Sus scrofa: one gene and its partners. The protein of the gene in region 2 interacts with the protein of the main gene of each other region in a biochemical or structural test. Links are inferred from orthologs where the notes say so. Each region holds a gene or a part of one and is shown on either strand. Other genes may lie near its edges. The genes, in order: FBXO21, EID1 and NR0B2.

Evidence for each region.
Region 1: of the proteins of EID1 (region 2) and FBXO21, one has a biochemical effect on the other in vitro, tested with the Homo sapiens proteins (2 studies listed by BioGRID, with this or other methods). The link is inferred for Sus scrofa from reciprocal best matches to the Homo sapiens genes EID1 and FBXO21.
Region 3: the proteins of EID1 (region 2) and NR0B2 form a complex in vitro, tested with the Homo sapiens proteins (3 studies listed by BioGRID). The link is inferred for Sus scrofa from reciprocal best matches to the Homo sapiens genes EID1 and NR0B2.

Annotation. Positions count from the first base shown.
Region 1 is NC_010456.5:35,311,522-35,318,198, forward strand, and holds the start of FBXO21 (F-box only protein 21), read left to right. Parts: upstream 1-2,137; coding exon 2,138-2,376; intron 2,377-3,224; coding exon 3,225-3,360; intron 3,361-5,460; coding exon 5,461-5,555; intron 5,556-6,677. UniProt on the Homo sapiens protein: Substrate-recognition component of the SCF (SKP1-CUL1-F-box protein)-type E3 ubiquitin ligase complex.
Region 2 is NC_010443.5:122,808,808-122,815,340, forward strand, and holds EID1 (EP300-interacting inhibitor of differentiation 1), read right to left. Parts: upstream 3,675-6,533; 5' UTR 3,325-3,674; coding exon 2,749-3,324; 3' UTR 1,677-2,748; downstream 1-1,676. UniProt on the Homo sapiens protein: Interacts with RB1 and EP300 and acts as a repressor of MYOD1 transactivation. Inhibits EP300 and CBP histone acetyltransferase activity.
Region 3 is NC_010448.4:84,222,413-84,229,276, forward strand, and holds NR0B2 (nuclear receptor subfamily 0 group B member 2), read left to right. Parts: upstream 1-3,257; 5' UTR 3,258-3,320; coding exon 3,321-3,861; intron 3,862-5,134; coding exon 5,135-5,376; 3' UTR 5,377-5,744; downstream 5,745-6,864. UniProt on the Homo sapiens protein: Transcriptional regulator that acts as a negative regulator of receptor-dependent signaling pathways. Specifically inhibits transactivation of the nuclear receptor with which it interacts.

The DNA of each region.
Region 1 (6,677 bases), on a different chromosome or scaffold from region 2:
GCAGTTTCTCCCCGTTCCCCCATAATGCTTTTATCAAGCACGGTCTCCATGCCAGGTACTGTTCTAGTCACTTTACATAATGTACTCATTTAATTCTCACAACAGTCCCAGGAGGCCAGCATTATTATTACCCCCATTTTAAAAACTGGGCATCAGAAGGCCACGTCACTGGCTCTTGCTAAACAGCTAGTTAGACAATTGCCATCAAGAGATAATTATTGAGGGGCTGCTCGGTACAAGGCCTTGGGCCAAATGCGTGGGCATCCACAGGTGAATCAAAGACAGGCCTGATCCTCAAGCTGCTTCTGATCCAGTGGGAAAGATGAAGATCAAACAAATAGTGCAATTAAGTAATCATTGCAAGCCTGTAACATGCTGTGAAGGGGCTGGATCTGGTTCTGGCGCTGGGGTGGGGGAAGGGGAGGGCATCTGGAGAGGTTCGGCTAAGTCCTGGAAGACAAGGAGGAGGAGCTAAAAGGAGGACGTGCTGGCACAAAGCACATTCCAGGCCATGGAAACAGTATATATGTGAAGGCCAGAAGTGGGAGGAAAGACCCCAGCCTGGCTACAGTGAGGCTAGTGAGGGAGAGAATGGCTTCAGATAAGCAAGGAGAGGAAGATAGGAGTCTGTCCCTTTGCAACAATGTTAGGGATTTTGGATTTCTCTTCCTTTCTTCCTCCCTTCTTTTCTTTTTTTTTTTTAAATGGCTACACCCTTGACATATGGAAATTCCCAGGCTAGGGGTTGAATAGGAGCTGCAGCTGCTGGCCAGAGCAAGTCACATGTACAACCTACACATCAGCTAGCAGCAATGCTGCCAGATCCTTAACCCAGTGAGGTCAAGGATTGAACCTACATCCTCACAGACACTATGTAGGGTTCTTAACCTGCTGAGCCACAAGGCGAACTCTTGGATTTGTTTCTTAGGGTAATAGGGAGTCATGGATGGCTCAACACCATCCATTAAGAATAACTTTCCTAGTTCACCTCTCTCAGGGGATTCTGATTTCCAAATTGAGGGGAATACTATATTGAGCCTCCCTGGACTGACAACAGATTGTACTTGCATGTCCCCCCACCCCCCCAATTGTACTCTGAGTTCCTGGAAGGCAAAGATCCTGTCTTTTTCACTTCTATCACCAGGGCATACAGCACAGAGCCTGGCACTAAACTAAACCGAGTTTAAAAAATTAATAAATAGGAGTTCCTGTTGTGATGCTGTGGTAACGAACGCGCTAGTATCCATGAAGATGCGGGTTGGACCCCTGGCCTCACTCAGTGGGCTAGAAATCCACAGTTGCCCGCAAGCTGTGGTGTAGGTGGCAGTCGAGGCTCAGATCCCGTGTGGCTGTGGCTGCGATGTAGGCCAGCAGCTGCAGCTCAAATTCACCCCCTAGCCTGGGAACTTCCATATGCCAGGAATGTGGCCCTAAAAAGACAAAATAAACAATAGGTGCAGGCACGAGGAAAGAGTGTCCACTCAGTTGAGTGGGAAATCCTGTGCGCAGGATTCAAATCCAGGTTCTACCACTTTTTGCCTCTGTGACTTTGAAGCAGTGACTCCCACCCTTATGAGCCAGGTTTTCCTTATCTGTAGAATGGGTATAAAAATGATACGTATCACCTAGGGCTCAAATGAGGCATCCTTGAAGAACGTATGTAAAGCCCATGGCACAATCCCCACTCAAATATTGTTCGTTAGCATTACAGCACATTGGTTTAGCGTACAATCAAGCAGAGTCAAGCGGATCTGGATTAAAATCTAGGACAAGGGACTCTCAACAAGTCCTTTTATCTCCCTGAGCCTCAGTTTCCTGTAACTGGGGGGAGAATAACGGTTCATAGGGTTATTGGAAAGGTCTGATGAGCACATTCACAGGAAGCGCTCGGCACTCATAATAAAAATGGATGCTACTATGATTGTCCACTCACAGTTCCCGAGCCCACCGCGCTGTTATTTTCCAAAACGTATTTCTTTCCTTTGGCAGCATTGCAGCCCATCGAGAACTGATTGGACCGAGGAGGTGTGGTCACGTCGTGGGCGGGGTGACCCTGGAGCCCTCCCCTCGAGGCGGGTGGGCGGGGCGAGGGGGCGCCCTGGTGCGCGCGCGCGGCGGCCCCAGGTACGCAGACAAGATGGCGGCAGCAGCGGTCGATAGCGCGATGGAGGTGGTGCCGGCGCTGGCGGAGGAGGCCGCGCCCGAGGCGGCGGGCCTCAGCTGCCTCGTCAACCTGCCCGGCGAGGTGCTGGAGTACATTCTGTGCAGCGGCTCGCTGACGGCCGCCGACATAGGCCGCGTCTCTAGCACCTGCCGGCGGCTGCGCGAGCTGTGCCAGAGTAGCGGGAAGGTGTGGAAGGAACAGTTCCGGGTGAGGTGAGCCAGCGGCCCCGGCCGCCCGTGCCCCCACTCTGCGCCCCGGGGGCCCGGGCCCGGCAGCCCATAGCCGCCGCCTCCCTGCCAGCGCGCGGACCCCAGTCCCGGATCCCACCCCCGGACCCCTTCCCGGGGACGGACAGACAAAGGCCTCCAGGCCGCCGACCCCTCGGTCCACGCTGCACGGACCCGCCGGTGCCCAAATTGCGCATCGGGAAGCGCCCAGCAGCCGGGCCCTCCATAAAGGATGACGACTGTGGTATCACGACTCATCCTTTCTGCGCGCTGCTTTTGTGCCCGACTCAGTGCTAGAATGTTTACATGGACCCAGTGATGCAGTGATCCTAACAGCCCTTTGAGGAGCGGGCGCAGCATCTCCTGGCAGTTAGCTGAGAGCACAGATTTCGGTGTGGGACCGGGGATGAAATCTGGCCCTGACGTACTCCCCGTGTGACCTTGGGGGTAGCGACTTCCCTTTTTTGATCCTCATTCATCGACTTTAAACAGTGTTGATTAGACCTACCTTTGACTTTGGTTATTAGATGAGATGATGTGTAGGGAGTACTTACACCGGGCCCGGCTCTTAGGAGGCGCACAATTAATGTTAACTGTGATTGTCATCACTATGATTATTGTTGCTACGACTGTCCCCATTTTATAAATGGGGACTGGAAATGCAGTATTCCTATTGCCACGCCAAGGTCACGGCGTGAGCAAGTGCGTGCGTGCCGGGTGGAGATTTGAACTATCGCCAGGGCCCCTCTGACCCCTAAAACCAACTGTTTCCCAGTTTCCCAAGGCCGCCTTTGAGTCTCCGTTGCGCTGAGGGAGTGTTTCTCTCCTTGTAGGTGGCCTTCCCTTATGAAACACTACAGCCCCACCGACTACGTCAATTGGTTGGAGGAGTATAAAGTTCGGCAAAAAGCTGGGTTAGAAGCCCGGAAGATTGTAGCCTCATTCTCAAAGAGGTTCTTTTCCGAGCACGTAAGGATCTGTTGTTGGAGTTCTAAGCGTTTGCCTGTTCTCGGTGTTTGTGTCTGGGTCTGTAGGCATTAGCTCATCAGCTCTTTTTGCCATCTCCCTTTTCTGTGCCCTCACAATCCCTTACTCACTTCCATGGCTGCAAGAGTCATTGTGTCCTTTTCCTCCCATCCAACAACATGAAGCCATTTGTCCCTGCCAGCTTTACTTTTCTAAAGCCAGAGAGAATGGGGGGAGGGAGAGGGAGGAAGGGACCCGCAGCGCAATGTGGAGGGAATCCAGATCAGCATTATTCTCTTTAAGTGGGTTAAACATATATTTTTGCAACCTCCAGGTTACTGGGGGTGGGGGAGTGGGGGGAGATCATCGATGATTGAACACTGCAAATTTCACCCAGTTGTTTTCCCAGAAGGGTTGACAAAATTAATATGGTTCTTTCTGGCTTTGCAGGTTCTAACCAGTAGTGAACTGCGTTATTTGTTAAGGTAACAGAGGATTAAAAGCTACCTGTGAATGGAGAATCATTACTCCCGCAATTAAATTGTCTTGCATTCATTATCCCCCAAAAGATTTTTTTTTTTTAATTTTTTTATGTAATGCTGAAATGCATGGGTTGGTTGGTTTGTTTCCCTTCCACAAAGTGTCTCACAGAAGTTTCTGTATCAGGTCCTGATTCTTAACTTTTTGTAATTCTGGAAAATAGTGCACACTAATATTTTAAGTTTATTTTTGGTTGGAGGTCTAGAAATGAAACGGATCTGATTTATTTTAATATCCTCATTTACTGAAGTTTGATTCCTGTTTTCTAATTCTTTTTGTTTGTTTATTTTTGTTTTTGTTTTTTGGCATATGTAAGTGTCCAGGCCAGGGACCAAAGCCGAGCCACAGCTGCGACCTATGCCGCAGCTGTGGCAATGCTGGAGCCTTAACTGTGCCAGGCTGGGGATTGAACCTATGCCATTGCAGAGACGAAGCTGGATCCTGCTGCAGTACAGCGGGAACTTCCCTATTTTCTAATTTTAATTACTGTTATTTAATGGAGTTCATATATTTGAAATGTTTTCATGGCTTTTCAAGTTTTGAAAGGGAAAAGTTGGGCTTTGGGTAAATTTGAACTTATTCCCCCATAGAAATTAAAACTAGATATTCCCTAGTGTAATTCATTTCTATAAGTAAATGTTTCTTAAATGTTAGAGTGAACAAAATGTATATCCTACTTTGGATAAGCCATGCACTAGCTAAAAGCATTCATACCACACATTTTCCATACTGGTTTAAATGGATTTGCCCACACATATTGCCGGATGTATTTGATGCCCTTGGACGTGGGCTACTAGTTTGCGACCTCTAGTTAATAGTCGCAGCTGGTTTTGTGTGCAATTTTCACTGTCTGTGCCTTTGTCTAATAATGATGCATTGTTGTGTTTTTCCCTCAGTGCCCTCTTTCCCTGCACCTCTGCTTGATTAGAAGTGTGTCAAGGACTTTGAACATAGCAGGAGCATACTTAGGATTGATCTGTGGGTGGATGATTACTTTGGCTCAGGACCCTTGTATTTCTGTGTTCTCAGCGTGTACAGGTTGACATGAAATTTCCTGATTACTTTGAAAAAGGAAAGTGGGAGAGGTAGTAGAATTTTATGCTGAAGGGATCTTAAAGCTCATTGGTACCACCCCCTCAATTTACAGAGGGGAAAACATAAAGGGTCAAGAGTCGCCTGAAGCACTGGACTTCTCTGGCCCTCCACTCCTAGTTGAATTCAGTGTAGACTGCACAGAATAGTTATTGTTAATTAGGAGATTTTGTGTTTCTGGTCCTGATTTCAGAGTTATTTTTCTTCACATTTGAACTGAGTTATCACTTTCAGAAACTCCAGTCTTTGAAGATGTAAGTCATTTACAACTAACAGTATGATCTGAACAAACTATTGTTACTCCACAGGTTGCTTTCCACCCGTAGTGGGTGGGCAGTGCAAGATAGTGTGGGAGAGGTGTTACCACTTCTGTGAAAAAGAGCAGCTTTGTTTGCAACTCAGATTTGTGTGTGAGCATGACGATGACATTATTACTCATTACTGAGCCTCTTTGTATGTGTCTTTTCATAGGTCCCTTGTAACGGTTTTAGTGACATTGAGAATCTTGAGGGACCAGAGATATTTTTTGAGGATGAACTGGTGTGTATCCTAAATATGGAAGGAAGGTAAGCTGTAGTTTTATCCAGGATTTTGTTTGTTTTAATAATTACCCCAGAGTTAATTGCTGTAATTAGTATGTGGCTGAACTGTGGGACACATTTCCAAATATTTCATGTTACATTCATGTTGTTACAGTTAGATTTTTGAAAAATTTCCTCTGTACAAGGTAACTACACCAAGACAATTGATATGCAAAGAAACAGTTCAAAAATCCTTTCGGGAGAATTCATGTTTAGTCCTCCTTCGGGTCAAATACTGTACTCTGGGCACTTGTATCTATTATGGCATTTGGTTAATACAAATTATCCTTTCTTCGTTGTCACTTGTTCACCTACCACCACCAGATTTGCCTGTCGTGAATTGAATTCTTTAAAAAAAAGTTTCTCGTGTATGTCTTAATTTAATGGATAATATTTTACAATTTCTGGATTATGGTAAGAAATAATCTACTTCGCCCATGAACATTACAGATACTTGGTTGAGCCTTGCTTTTATCTCTCTCAATCAAGAGGAATCCATTATCTCTTGATTGTTGCTTAAAATTCTTTTATGCCTTATATTTTCTGAAGGTTAATTTCCAGTTTACCAGAAAGATGACTTGGCTTCCAGCCTAACTTACCTATGAAAAAGATTTTCTGCTCTAAAAGTTCTGGAAATTTTATTAACGATGGAAGATGAGTGCTAGTTTAACATCTTCAGAGAAATCATTGTGAAACATCTCACAAACAAGGCATAAGACATTGTTCTTATTGTTTTCAAGGGGGTTTAGGAGAGAGAACTATCTATCAGTGGAACAACTGTGAGGGAGAGGTAAGATGTGTCACTATTCTAGGCCTTGGATGAGTTCTGATGCAGAGGTCATTTTTCTGTTTCTATTTTGGTTTATCTATAAATGAATTAAGTGTGATCTAATAGTCAGTATTGTGCAGCCTTAAAAATAAAAGTCAACCTATCTCTTTTACATATATACACATAGACTTTTAAATTCGTAAATGTTACATCATACGTACTGAGTTTATCAGTCCTTTGGGGTTTGTTTTGATATTTAATGCAAACTGTCTTTTTCTTATTTATGCTGTTTTGTCCTTCCTCCCTTCTTCCATTTTTATTGGCCTTCCCTGACCCCA
Region 2 (6,533 bases):
TACCTTTGAAGTTCTAAGATAAATACAAATAATGCCCCCCACCGTAACTTCTAAGATGGTTCACACTGGGAGTTTTGTTGCCTCTCTCTAGATTATGAGATGCTGGTCTTTAATTAAGAAATTAAGGAGTTCCCACTGTGGCTCAGTGGAAATGAATCTGATTAGTATCCATGAGAATGCAGTTTGGAACCCTGGCCTTGCTCAGTGCGTTAAGGATCCCACTTTGCTATGGCTGTGGCTGGCAGCTACAGCTCATATTTGACCCATAGCTTTGAACCTCCATGTGCTACAGGTACAGCCCTTGAAAAATAAAAAAAGAAATTAAAACTATAAGCATAAGCTAAACAAAACAGATCTGTGTTCTTGAGGGCAGCCAATGTGGGCCATTTGATTTAAGCAAATATTTATAGTAAATGTGCATAGACCACAAAAGCTGTCTCCAGATCACACTACACACTCATGAATTTCTCTGAGTTCTCTCTCATCATTCCACATCCCACCCTCTCCCCCCATCAAAGAACCAGGATTAGAATTTCCCCAGAACTCTCTTCTTTAGTTTATCTATTTATATATAGATATGTATATCTTCATTAAATCCTCAGTTTGTAAGTTCCATCCAGTTATTCTTGTTCTTAGTTTGGGATCCTGAGGCAGAGAGATTAATTTACTCAGTTGCAGAGCTAGTAAGGATTGGAAGACAGATTTGAATCTGTGTATAACTGTTAACATTGAAAAATATTACCATTTTTTATCTTTGGTAAATATTAACAAGTGTTAATTTCAGTGATCACTCAGGTTACTGCCTATTTTTAAGACCAACAAACCAATCATCAGAGGAGTGAGTTGCAGAGTCTAGGTCTTTCTCCCCTAAATAAGCCTTCAAACCCAACAGGGAGTGGTCCCCCCCACCCCCTTCCTCCCGACTCAGTCTCTAAGAGAAACAGAGGAACACTTCCCAGTTTGTACATGTTTTTTCTGAACCTATTTCCTGGCATCTTTATCTGGAGGTAAATGCAACTAGTCAGTTCATGTGTACTCAACCCATTTTATGCTTTTTCCAGCGTACTGTTAATTCATATCCCACAAGCAATTATCTCCCCAAACTCTTAAGACTGCATCTACAAGCAGTGTCAATATGTAATGAAAGTAAGCCATGGGAGAAGTAGTAAAGACATTTGAGTGCCACAGTTTAACCTCTTTCCCCACCTCTGCTCCCATGCTAGTGTTTGAATTATGATCATCCTTACTTGCTAGTTCTGTAATTTACAGAGAAGAATCCCCTTCCCTGAAAGACAGGATAACTGTAACATAAGTAGGCTCTGAGTGGTCGTGTTGTATTGGCTGTGTCCTTTACTGCCATAATGGAGCAAAAACATCTGGTACTTTTTCACTGGGCACAGCCTTCTGACTGCTATTCACATAGAACTTCAGCAATATGCTTATTGATTTGGTAGGTTGTCCCAGGTTGGTCAATTCTCTTATGGGAATTTACTAAGTTTAATTTCCACCAATTAATTTGTAAATCAGGTATGTGAAGCTAGAGAACTTTCCCTTTTTGTTTTTTTTTTAGTGGTTAAATTTAAATCATAAAGTGGTTGCGCCCATACATTAAAGTAGTATATAATACAATAAAAGTAGAATTAGAGAAAGTATGTATGCAATACCATTAGACAAAATACACAGAACAAGAAATTTTTATTATCTGGAATGCTGGTGCATAACCAATAACAAGCTTAATTAGAGGAGGAGACAGAGGAAAAACTTCAGATACTGAGGTGAATTTCTGGGCAGGTTTAAAACCCTTAAGGGCTGACAGCATAATTGTTCATAAAGTCTTTTGTAGATGTAGGGCTCTCCTTTTACTTGACAGTTTTCAGTTAACAGTTCTTATATTATGAAGTTCAACCAAAGTCTTTTGCCTGTAAAGTTACATGAAAAACAAAGAGCAAGTAAAACAGAAAATTTCTCTAGTATATAAAGATGTTAGTTTTCTTTGTACTTTGACATTCTTAGTTTGAAACTTTATTAAGGACGTCTTAATTTTTGACTTTTAAAAATGGTCAAGACGGTAAATTTTCTTGAATTCAAGATTACAGTAGTGTTATAAATGATCAAGATATATGTACAAACAATATCTCAGATGCTCTTGGAAACACGCTTTAAGATATAGCACACATGATACACATTTCTTTGGAGGCTCGATTATTCTTTTGCAATACTGAAGAATACTCAATTTACCTTTCGCTAAAAATTTAGCCTTTGGATAATAACTACAGCTTGGCTTAGATGAATCACAAAATGACATCTTCAGTATGCTTTCAGTCCAAATAACTCAGACATGTGGTGTCCAAAGTTGGATAAATTAGTTACTTTTTCTCATATGATTAACATCAGTGGGCTCTTGTACCGGCCATGTGTCTTGGTTTTTCTTGCAAAGCCATCCGGAAATGTGAAAGATACTTTCCCAAATGCAAGGAAATTAATCTAGATCAGTAACAGAGTCAAAGCCACAAGTGTTTCACGACATTCTTGAAAACAGGTTTCAACAGTACTGAGATCCTTTTCCTTTAACAATTTTCTTCCTTTCCCATAACTGTGAAGTCACTTTCCTAGTCTACACTGCCCCCCCCCCCATTTTTTCTTTTGGATCAAGTGTTTCATTGGCACGGAACTATTCGGAATGAACCCAAGAGACTGGAATGTTGTTGGGTCTCTCCTCAAGTAGTTTCCTCCTCTCTTCACAGCATACTACTCTCTATCAATAATCTCATCACAGCCGAGTTCTTCGGTCAGACGATTGACAACCATAAGTGAAAAAAGCTCCTCGATAAAAGCCAACTGATCGAACGGGGTCTTCTCATAATGCATCTGAAATCCGCCCCCCAGAGCTGCTTCTCTCGCTCTGGAGGTCCTCAGAAACATCTTGTTGGCTTCTTCCAGGGCCGCTGAGACTCTGTAGCCCGCACCACTCAGCTGCTCCTCTTCCGGATAGTCGTAGTCGTCCTCCCAGTCATCAAATTCCTCGCCCTCGTCCTCGCTCTCGAAATCAGGGCCCGCGATCTGGCCCGGGCGCTCCCCAGGGTTGGGCCGGTTAGCGAGGCCTCGCTGCCCCTGCGGCTCCGCCATTGGCTGGGCCACCTCCTCCTCCATTGGGCCTTCCTCCTCCAGCTGTGGCGGGGCCCCGGAGCGGGAGGGGTTCGGGGACGGCCCCCGGCTCCCGCTGCCTACCTCCATTTGCGGAAGGTCGCTCTCGCCGGGCATCACATCCATCTGCAGGTCATTGCTCTCCTCATAAAGCTCGGACAGCTCGTGCATTTCCGACATTGTGCAATCGGCTAGACCTCTCGCCAAGCGTTTTCTGCAAGATCTGGGCTACGCGGCCGCGCGGTTGTGCGCTTGCGCACACGCCGTGGGCTTGCGTGACCTTGAGCGTGTGCGCGACCCCCAGAAATCGCCTCCTGCTTGGCGCGCTGCTCAGTCGGCAACCGCTAGCTGTTCGCTCCTGGGGACTTACGGGACCTTGGTCCTTTCAGACTAAATACACTTACAAACGAGAGCATTGCTTAGCCCCTGCCTTACTTAGTCATTCTGCTTCTGATGCTGTAATCTTGAAAACACTTTACACATCTTCTGTAACACCCCTTAACCCTCCTCCTCCATCGCCTTCCTCCTTCCTCCCTCCGCTTTTCGCTCCTCCTCCTTCCCCCATCCCCAGGCAATCACATCTTCTCCTAGGTTTTAACTACTTTTTTCTAGGCGCAAATGACTGCTAAATCTGCACCTCCAAAGCAAAAGATGTTCTGAACCACAGAGCAATATATTAAGAATTGATCCATCCATCTCTAATATTAAAAAAAAGTTAAATGAACAAATAAGCATATTAAAGGTGTTCTACAAAGAAAAAATAAATAGAAGAAATACTTGCTCCTGTTTCTTTTTGCAGGAGACATAACCTTACACTGTTAGCAATTCGGTGTATATTCTTTAAATTCCCTCCCCCCCTTTCTTTGCATTTACGTGGATCTCTCTATTGTCTTCTGGAAAAGTCTTTTTTTTTTTTTTTTCTTTTTACATATCTTAACATAATTGTCTTCAACTTTCAAAACAAGGAAACGAAAAAGCCCTCAGCAATGTCTTGAAGATTTAGCAGTGTTAGTGTCCACAGACATGTGTTTTTCCTAGTATGCTACTTGTATAGCAATGTTGCAAATGACCTAACAATGCACAAATAATTTTATAATTTTTGATATTTAAAATTATGGGTAAAAAAAAAAAAAGAAAAAACTATGGGTAAATGAACATCCCCAAATGACAATATTTCTCTCAAATGAAAACCTAGAAGTGCAAAGGTGAAATTGTAGGGTATTCATCCTTTAGTTTTAATAAATGTCAAATTGCTCTTCAAAGTTGCTGTGCAAATTTAGGCTCTAGCCAGCCATATTTGAGAATATCCACACCCTTGCCACACATTATTTTGTTGATTGTTAACAATTTTATCACTTAAAGGTGTATTATTTTATTTTTCATAGTCTTATTACTTGGAAATTATCTTTCAATATGTTTAGTGAACCTATGTATTACTTCTGAAAATTAAATGGTCTTATTTTAGGTTTGTTTATTTTTCTTATTGATGTAGGAATTTCTTATAAACTGAGTGTATGAATACTTTGTTTCACATGTTGCAAACATTTTCTCCCTGCCTCTTGTTTCTTGTTTCAAGGGTCTTTTAAAAAATGTTTTATTGAAGCATAGTTGATATATAATGTTGTGTTAATTTCTGCTGTATAGCACAGTGGTTCAATTGTACATATAAACATATCCTTTCTTTTTCAGATTCTTTTCCCATATAGGTTATCACAGAATATTGAGTAGAGTTCCCTGTGCTATACAGCAGGTCTCCAGTGACCATCCATTTCATATACAATTGTGTCCATATGCCAATCCCAAACCACCAATCCATCCCTCCCCCCATCTTTCCCCTTTGGTAACTATAACTGTTTTCGAAGTCTGTGAGTTTGTTTCTGTTTTGTAAATAAGCTCATTTTTTATCATTTTTTTAGAGTTCATATATATAAGTGATATCATATGTTTGTCTTTCTCTGTCTAACTTACCTCTGTATGATAATCTCTAGTATCATCCACGTTGCTGCAAATGGCATTATTTCATTCTTTTTTATATCTGAGTAATATTCTATTGTATCTTTATTCATTCATCTGGCAGTAGACATCTAGGTTGCTTTCATGTCTTGGCTATTGTGAATAGTTCCGCTATGAACATTGGGAAGCATGTTGCCCAGGAGTGGGATTACTGGGTCATATATTAGTTTTAATTTTAGTTTTTTGAGGAACCTCCATGCTGTATTCCATAGTGGTTGTACCAGTTTATATTCTCAGGGCTCTTTTCTTACATAAAAGTTTAAAAGTGAATTTTCATGTAATCAAATTTAAGGATTTCTTTCCTGTATGTCTTATTTCTTTCTATTTACCTATCTCAAAGGTCATAAGCATAATCTTTTATCTGTCTTCTAACAAAAGACCTTTGTATAAATCCTTTATGGATCAAACATTTATTTATATAAATAATATGAGGATAGGCTTTATTTATATATGTTTTCCATGTATGTAGCTAATTCAGCTAACTGCACTAATTTAACCATTTGTCCTTTTTTCTGCTCTTTGGTGCCACATTTATCATAGACTAAAAGACCACAAAAGTGTGAATCTGTTTTTAGACTTTGCACACTAATGAATTTCTATAGTTTTATGTCTTGCTAATGAGGAAAATCTTATCTCTTTGTTCTTTAAAACACTGCCTCAGATCTTTTTGCACATTTATTCTTTCATGTGAATTTTACAAGTAGTTTGAAAAGTTCCCTGAATGACATTGGTGGAATTTTCATTGGAATGCATGGAATTTATAGATTAGTTTTGGGGGAGAATTGACATATTTATAATACTGTCTTTCATCCATAAAGGTGATATATGTCTTTCTTCTTGCTCAGGTCCTCCTTATATGCTTCAATGAAGTTTTCCAAAAAGTCTTATGTGATTCTCATTAGTTTTATACTTTGGTTCTCTTGTAAAATGTACCTCCCCAAATATTGACTATTGCTGATATATGGAATAACATTGATCTTTGCATATTGACTTTGTTTTTACTAATCACCTTTAACTGAAATAGAAGTAACAGAAAGCATAAATATAAAAAAGTGTACAAATCATGATGGTATATCTTGATTATCACAAAATGAACATATTTGTGTAACTTCAACTCAGATCAAGGAACACCATTTTCAGGATCCCAGAAAACCACTTCCTTTCTCTTCCTTTGTCCCAAAAGTCACCACTGTCCTGATTTCAACCAGAATGAAATAATTTTGCCTGTTTTTGAACTTTCTATTAGTTTAACTATGCAGTATACAATCTTGTGCCTAGCTATTTTTGCCCAAGAAATATGTTGTTGCTCTGTAGTAATCCATTGTTTGATCATCATTGGGGTTATAATGAATGAGGCAATAATCAGCTTTCTTGAG
Region 3 (6,864 bases), on a different chromosome or scaffold from region 2:
ACCAGGGGAGAGACAGTGATGGGGAGCGTTTCTGGGGTGTTGTTAATGCTCTTATTTCTTGTGCTGAGAGGTGGTTACTGGGTTCCGTTCATTTTGTGATAATTCCTCAAGCTATACATGTATGATTTGTGTACTTTTATGTTTAGTCACAACTATATATACAGGGACTTCCCATTGTGGTGCAGCAGAAACAAATCGACTAGGACCTATGAGGTTGCAGGTTCTACCCCTGGCCTCGCTCAGTGAATCAAGGATCTGGTGTTGACAAATATGGTTAGGTAATTGATCAGTACAAGCACTTTGTTATTATCCTGGGTTTGTGGTGTCTGTTTTCTGTCAGCTTATTTTACTTTGTAATTTGTTAGGATTTGTTTTCTCATTTATTAAATATTCATTTTCACACCTGATTTTCTATTCTTTATTTTTTTTTCTTTGTAGGGTCACACTAGCAGCATATGAGGGTTCCCAGGCTAGGGGTCAAATCAGAGCCACAGTTGCTGGCTATAGCCACAGCCACAGCAGCGCTGGATCTGAGATCTGAACCACAGCTCATGGCAATGCAAGGCCAGGGATCAAACCTGCAACCTCATGGTTACTAGTCGGATTGTTTCCACTGCGCCACAACAGGGATTCCCCTCTATTCTTTTTTTTTTTTTTTTTTTTTTTGTCTTTTTTTTTGCTATTTCTTGGGCTGCTCCCGAGGCATATGGGGATTCCCAGGCTAGGGGTCCAACCAGAGCTGCAGCCACCGGCCTACACCAGAACCACAGCAACGCGGAATCCGAGTTGCATCTGCAACCTACACCACAGCTCACGGCAACACCGGATCGTTAACCCACTGAGCAAGGGCAGGGACCGAACCCACAACCTCATGGTTCCTAGTTGGATTCGTTAACCACTGTGCCACGACGGGAACTCCTATTCTTTTTTTTTTTAGCCAGGCCCATGGCATGTGGAAGTTCCCAGGTCAGAGATCAAACCCATGCCATAGCAGCAACCTGAGCTGGATCCTTAACCCACTGCATCAGAGGGGATCCCTGATTTTCTATTCTTAAAGACGGCCCTACAAAACTGTATAAGCTTCAGGGCCCTAAGACCAATATTCACTAGTGGCCTTTCTTACTACCCTTTTTAATTTTTTTAATCTGAAGCATATGGAAGTTCCCAGGCTAGGGGCTGAATCGGAGCTGTAGCTGCCGGCCTACCCCACAGCCACAGCAATGCAAGATCCAAGCTGCATCTGCAGTCAATACCACAGCTCATGGCAACGATGGATCCTTAGCCCATTGAGCAACGCCAGGGATCGAACTTGCATCCTTATGGTAACTAGTCGAGTTCGTTACTGCTGAGCCACAATGGGATCTTCTTACTACCCTTTTAAATATGAGAAAACTGAGGCCCAGAAATATAAAGTGACTTGCGCCCAAGGCCCAAGGTGGCTCAATTAAATAATGAAAAAGGGTTTGGACCCAGCCAGTCTGACCCTAGAGTCTCCTTAGAGGGGATGCTCTGAGGACCCAGTGAGATAAAAGGATGTTAAAGCAACTTTATATGTGGAATGATTAAGATTGTTATGTTATTGTAATCACAGGAGAGATGTGTGCCTGTCTGCTGGGGTCTGTTTGCCTTAGTTCCTTAGGCAGAGGAAAGGGGGAGCAAAGTCTAATATATGCTAGAAACTGCTTGGAATCTGATGCCTCGGACCTCACTATGTCCTCACAGCTGCCCCATAGGCAGGTATTGTCTCAGCTGAGGATCCTGAGGCCCACAGGAGATTTGGGGTTCAGCCCACAGTCACACTATTGGAAAGTGATAGAGCCAGGAGCTGATGCCAGGGATGGCAATGGCTGCCCAGTAGTGTGTTAGCAGAAGGCTTGCCAGGCTGGGCTTGCCAAGGTCCACAGATATGACACAGCCAAGGACCGTCCCAACAGCCCTCCCGACGTCAGAAACAGATGCCAGGGACAGGGGAGCCGTGTGGCTAGCTGGCAGCAGAGCAACATTTCTGCCCAGATCACATGGGCAACATCTGCAGACCAAGAAGCAGAGGTGGGGGCCCAGGTGGTCATGAGCTCTGGGAGACCCAGGCCCCACAGCTCTGGCTGCCCAATTGGGCCAGAGGGTCCAGGGCAACAAGTGAGGATTTTGGAGTCAGACTGATCTGGGCTCTGTCTCTTCTCAGTGGTTTGAACTTGGGCAAGTCACTTCACCTCTTTGAGTCTCAAAAAGTAAGAATCTTGGGAGCTCCTGTTGTGGTTCAGTGGGATAAGAAACAAACTAGTATCCATGAGAATGCAGGTTCGATCCCTGCCTTGCTCAGTGGGTTAAGGAAACAGCCTTGCCTCAAGCTGTGGTGTAGGTCACAGACTTGGCTCAGATTCCGCATTGCTGTGGCTGTAGTGTAGGCAGGCAGCTGCAGTTCTGATTTGACCGCCTGGCCTAAGAACTTCCATATGCTGTGGGTGTGACCTTAAAAAAGACAAAAAAAAAAAAAAAAAGGTTTGGAATCTTATAGGGCAGCTTTGAATAAGAGAGTGGAAAGTGCCTGGCATGTAGTAAATAGCAGCAGTATTTCATTATCATTCTGCAAAGGCTTCTCAGCAGATATAGCCCTTCAGGGTCTCCAGGAATCCAGGCTGGGGAGAAAGACTTCTTAAGGATCTTATTCGTGCAGGACCCCCCAGAACTGGAGTCAGAGGAAAGGGGCCTCCTTGACTGCAAAGTGGGCAAAGTCCTCCCAGCCCCCCAGGGTCCTGGCTCCCTTCCCTGCAGGTTGTTCCTTACTGACAACGGGAGCAGGGCCCCAAGGTTAGGCAAACAAGCAAGTGATAAGGCGCTTCCAGGTTGGGCCTTGTGTTCAAGGCTTGTCCCGGTCTGGGGCTGGCTTCCCAGTCGAGCAAGAGTCCTGCTGGCACCAACAGGGACACCTGCCACGGCCACCTGCAATCGGGTGCAATCATGCACCTGAGGCCTTGGTGCCCTGGTACAGCCTGGGTTAATGACCCTGTTTATCCACTTGAATCATCTGACAAAGGGCAGCCCGGCCAGCAGGCAGGCGGCTCTTGCCCTGCACCCGCCGCTTCATTGACTGAAGCGATATCAGAGCCACGTGGAGTTCCAAGGCCCCCTCCCCCCTCACTTCCTCACCGGTCCTGCCAGGGTCAGTGTGTGTTTCTTTTTTTTTCAATGAACATGACTTCTGGAGTCAAGGTTGTTGGGCCATTCCCCCGCCCTCCCCCATGGGGGGATATAAATAGCACCCATAGCACAGAGCAGAGGGCAGGGGAGAGCCGGGAGGAAGCAGGAGCAGAGCCTCAATCATGAGCTCCAGGCAGCCAGGGACCTGCCCATGCCAGAGTGCAGCAGGCCGCCCAACCATTCTGTATGCACTTCTGAGCCCCAGCGACAGGGACCGGCCGTCTGTGCCCCCAGCCCGCAGCCACTGCCTGTGCAGGCAGCACCGGCCTGTCCGGCTCTGTACCCCCCATCGCACCTGCCAGGAGGCTTTGAATGTTCTGGCCAAGACGCTGGCCTTCCTCAGGAACTTGCCGTCTTTCTGCCAGCTGCCTCCCCAGGATCAGCGGCAGCTGCTGCGGGGCTGCTGGGGTCCCCTCTTCCTGCTTGGTTTGGCCCAAGACATTGTGACCTTCGAGGTGGCCGAGGTCCCAGTTCCCAGTATACTCAAGAAGATCCTGCTGGAGGAGCCCAGCAGCGGCGCAGGTAGTGGCCAGCCGCTGGATCGGCCCCAGCCCTCGCTGGCTGCCGTGCAGTGGCTTCAGTGCTGCCTGGAGTCCTTATGGAGTCTGGAGCTGGGCCCCAAGGAATACGCCTACCTGAAAGGGACCATTCTCTTCAACCCTGGTGAGCTCCTAGACACTCCTGGATGGGGGCCGAGGCTGGAGGGGGCCAGGGCTTAGCCAGGAGGGCGCCTTCTAAAGGCTTGACACCCGTTGTCTTTTTTGGGTCCTCATTATCACCACCAAAGAGTCATCTCACAAAAGGGGCTCAGAGAGGCTAAGTGACTCGCTGAAAGTCACACAGCCAGGGAGGGGCAGAGCAAGGATGGGAACTTGGGTCTCTTCACTTCAGCCACTCTGCCCCAGAACCTTGTCCTGACCCTCAGGGAAGGCGGGAGTCCTGAAAGGGAGGGTGGACAGACACAACTGTACCTCAGTCATGTCTTCACCAGCTGATGGCATGAAGATATTCTGAAGGTGCAAGTCCGTGGGTCCAGAAAGACCATGCATAGAAGAGGAATGAAAACGAGGGATGTGGGGGAGGAGAGGGAGGAGTCTGTGTAAACTTCAGCCGGGAGAGCACAGATAGAGGTAGTGTCTTTGTTATCTGGAGAGCACCTAGATGAGAATGTCTCCCCAAAAGGCCTTCATGGGATACATTATCAAAGAAATTGTTTAGAACAATAGTAACAAATACTCATATTACGCTTACCGTATGTTCAGTCCAGTGCTAAGGGTTTGACATGTACTGGCTCATTCAAACCTCATAACAAGTCTAGAAGATAGGTTTTTATACCCATTTTATCATTTTGTTATCATTATCATTATTATTATTATCCTTATTTGCCTTTTTGTCTTTCTAGGGCCGCACCCATGGCACATGGAGGCTCCCAGGTTAGGGGTCCAATCGGAGCTGTAGCCACCCACCTATGCCAGAGCCATGGCAATGCGGGATCCGAGCCGCATCTTTGACCTATGTCACAGCTCCTGTCAGTGCGGGATCCTTAACCCACCAAGGGAGGCCAGGGGTCAAACTTGCATCCTCACGGGTGCTAGTCGGGTTCGTTAACTGCTGAGCCACGACAGTAACTCCTATCATTTTATTATTTATTCCCATTTTACAAATGAGGAAACAGAGGCACAGAGATTGAGTAACTTTCCCAAGGCCACATAGCTAATAATGATAGTGTGGGATTCAAACCCAGGTGGCCTGGGTCTTAACCATTGCTCTATACTACCTCACCATAAAGGAGCAATGAATAAAGTGATGGATAAGTAACTCGAGATAGAAATAGGGTCCCAAAAGCTGAGCTGGCGGCCTCAGGTCTTGGGCCAGTCTTATCCTGTGGTGTCGGAGCAGGGTCCTCACCAGCCCTCTTTGCCTTCTCTGCCCGCAGATGTTCCAGGCCTCTATGCCTCCTCCCACATCGGGCACCTGCAGCACGAGGCCCACCAGGCGCTGTGGGAGGTCTTGGAGCCCTGGTGCCCAGCAGGCCAAAGCCGCTTGGCTCGTGTTCTCCTCGCAGCCTCCACCCTCAAGTCCATTCCGCCCACCCTGCTTGGGGACCTCTTCTTTCGCCCTGTCATTGGAGATGTTGACATCGTTGGCCTCCTCGAGGACATGCTTTTGCTGAGCTGACCTGCTCCAGCCCAGGCAGAGATCAGGTGGAGGCTGGCAGCACTGATTTGACCTGGCTGTCCCCAGGGGTGAGCCGGTGCTCCCAGAGGGGGCAAGCCTGGACAGCGAGCTCTCGGCTCCCCAGGAGCAGCTAGTCCTGGCCCAGCCAATTGGGCTACACCCTATCTTGGCCTTCCTTGTTTTGGGCACCGTGCTCCAGCTGTCTGGCCAGCCCTTGGTGGTCCCAGGACCTTTGGGCCAAGACTCCTGTCTCCTCCTGGGATGGGGTTGGAAAGTCTGACTGCTCACTGGGTCAGGAGTCCTCCTGACTTTGTACAGAACTGACTTAAGTTATTGGTTTTTGTAATAAAAAGTGTGACACACATGGAGCCTGACGCTGTATTTTGTACATGTGGAGGGGACCGCCTCACCTCTGGGGTTACCCCGCCCTGCCCCTATAGGAGGGAGCCCCTGAAGAAGGAACTCTAAGTGTACAGCAGTCAGACCTCTGGAAACTGGAATTTTAATATATCAGAGGGGAATGATGATTTCATTTCTGGGGATGCGATTTATTTTGCATGGGTCTAAATCCAGGGGGCAGCATCAGTTCAAGACTCCCTCACATCCTTGACTTTATCTTAGAAGGTAGTAGGTATCTCTCCCTGCCCCCATCCCCTGCTGACCCCCTCCCCCAGCTCCCGCCCTAGGCTCCCTCTCACCTCAGTGAGAACTGCATCCCAGCCAATAAGGAAAATGAGGAGTTCCCATCGTGGCAGTGGTTAAGAATCCGACTAGGAACCATGAGGTTGCAGGTTCGGTCCCTGCCCTTGCTCAGTGGGTTAACGATCCAGCATTGCCGTGAGCTGTGGTGTAGGTTGCAGACGCGGCTCGGATCCCGCGTTGCTGTGGCTCTGGCGTAGGCCTGTGGCTACAGCTCCGATTCGACCCCTAACCTGGGAACCTCCATATGCCACGGGAACGGCCCAAGAAATGGCAAAAAGACCAAAAAAAAAAAAAAAAAAGGAAAATAAAACAGACCATCCCCAAATTGAAGCAGCCAGTTTCCTGGAATTTCTGAGGTGGTTATTGATTTGCTTCCTTCATTGCTTCAGCTGACAGAGGAGGGTGGTCCATTGTTTCCCCAATGAGAGGGGACAAGGGCACCCAGGGCTGGCCTGGCAGCTGTTAGGAGGCCAAGACAAACTGAGGTTTAGCTGCCACACCAGCTGTTTAAGTTTGAAACACTTCCATGCCAGTTGGTTCGCAGCCACTGCACTGAGCGCCCCTGTATTTCCTCCCACTGCCCCTCTGTGCTGGCCTTTCTCCTGGAACCCATCCCCGGGTCCAGCATCTAGAGAGGCAATGCTTGGCATAGCCATGGCCTCTGGAACTGTTCCATTCAGTGCGTGGCTTGCGTCTGTTCTGACCGGTCAATGTCTGTGCCTCACTGTTTGTTAAACATTTTGAACATCACCCAGGTCAGGGTCACTGCCCTGCAGGGGGGGGGGC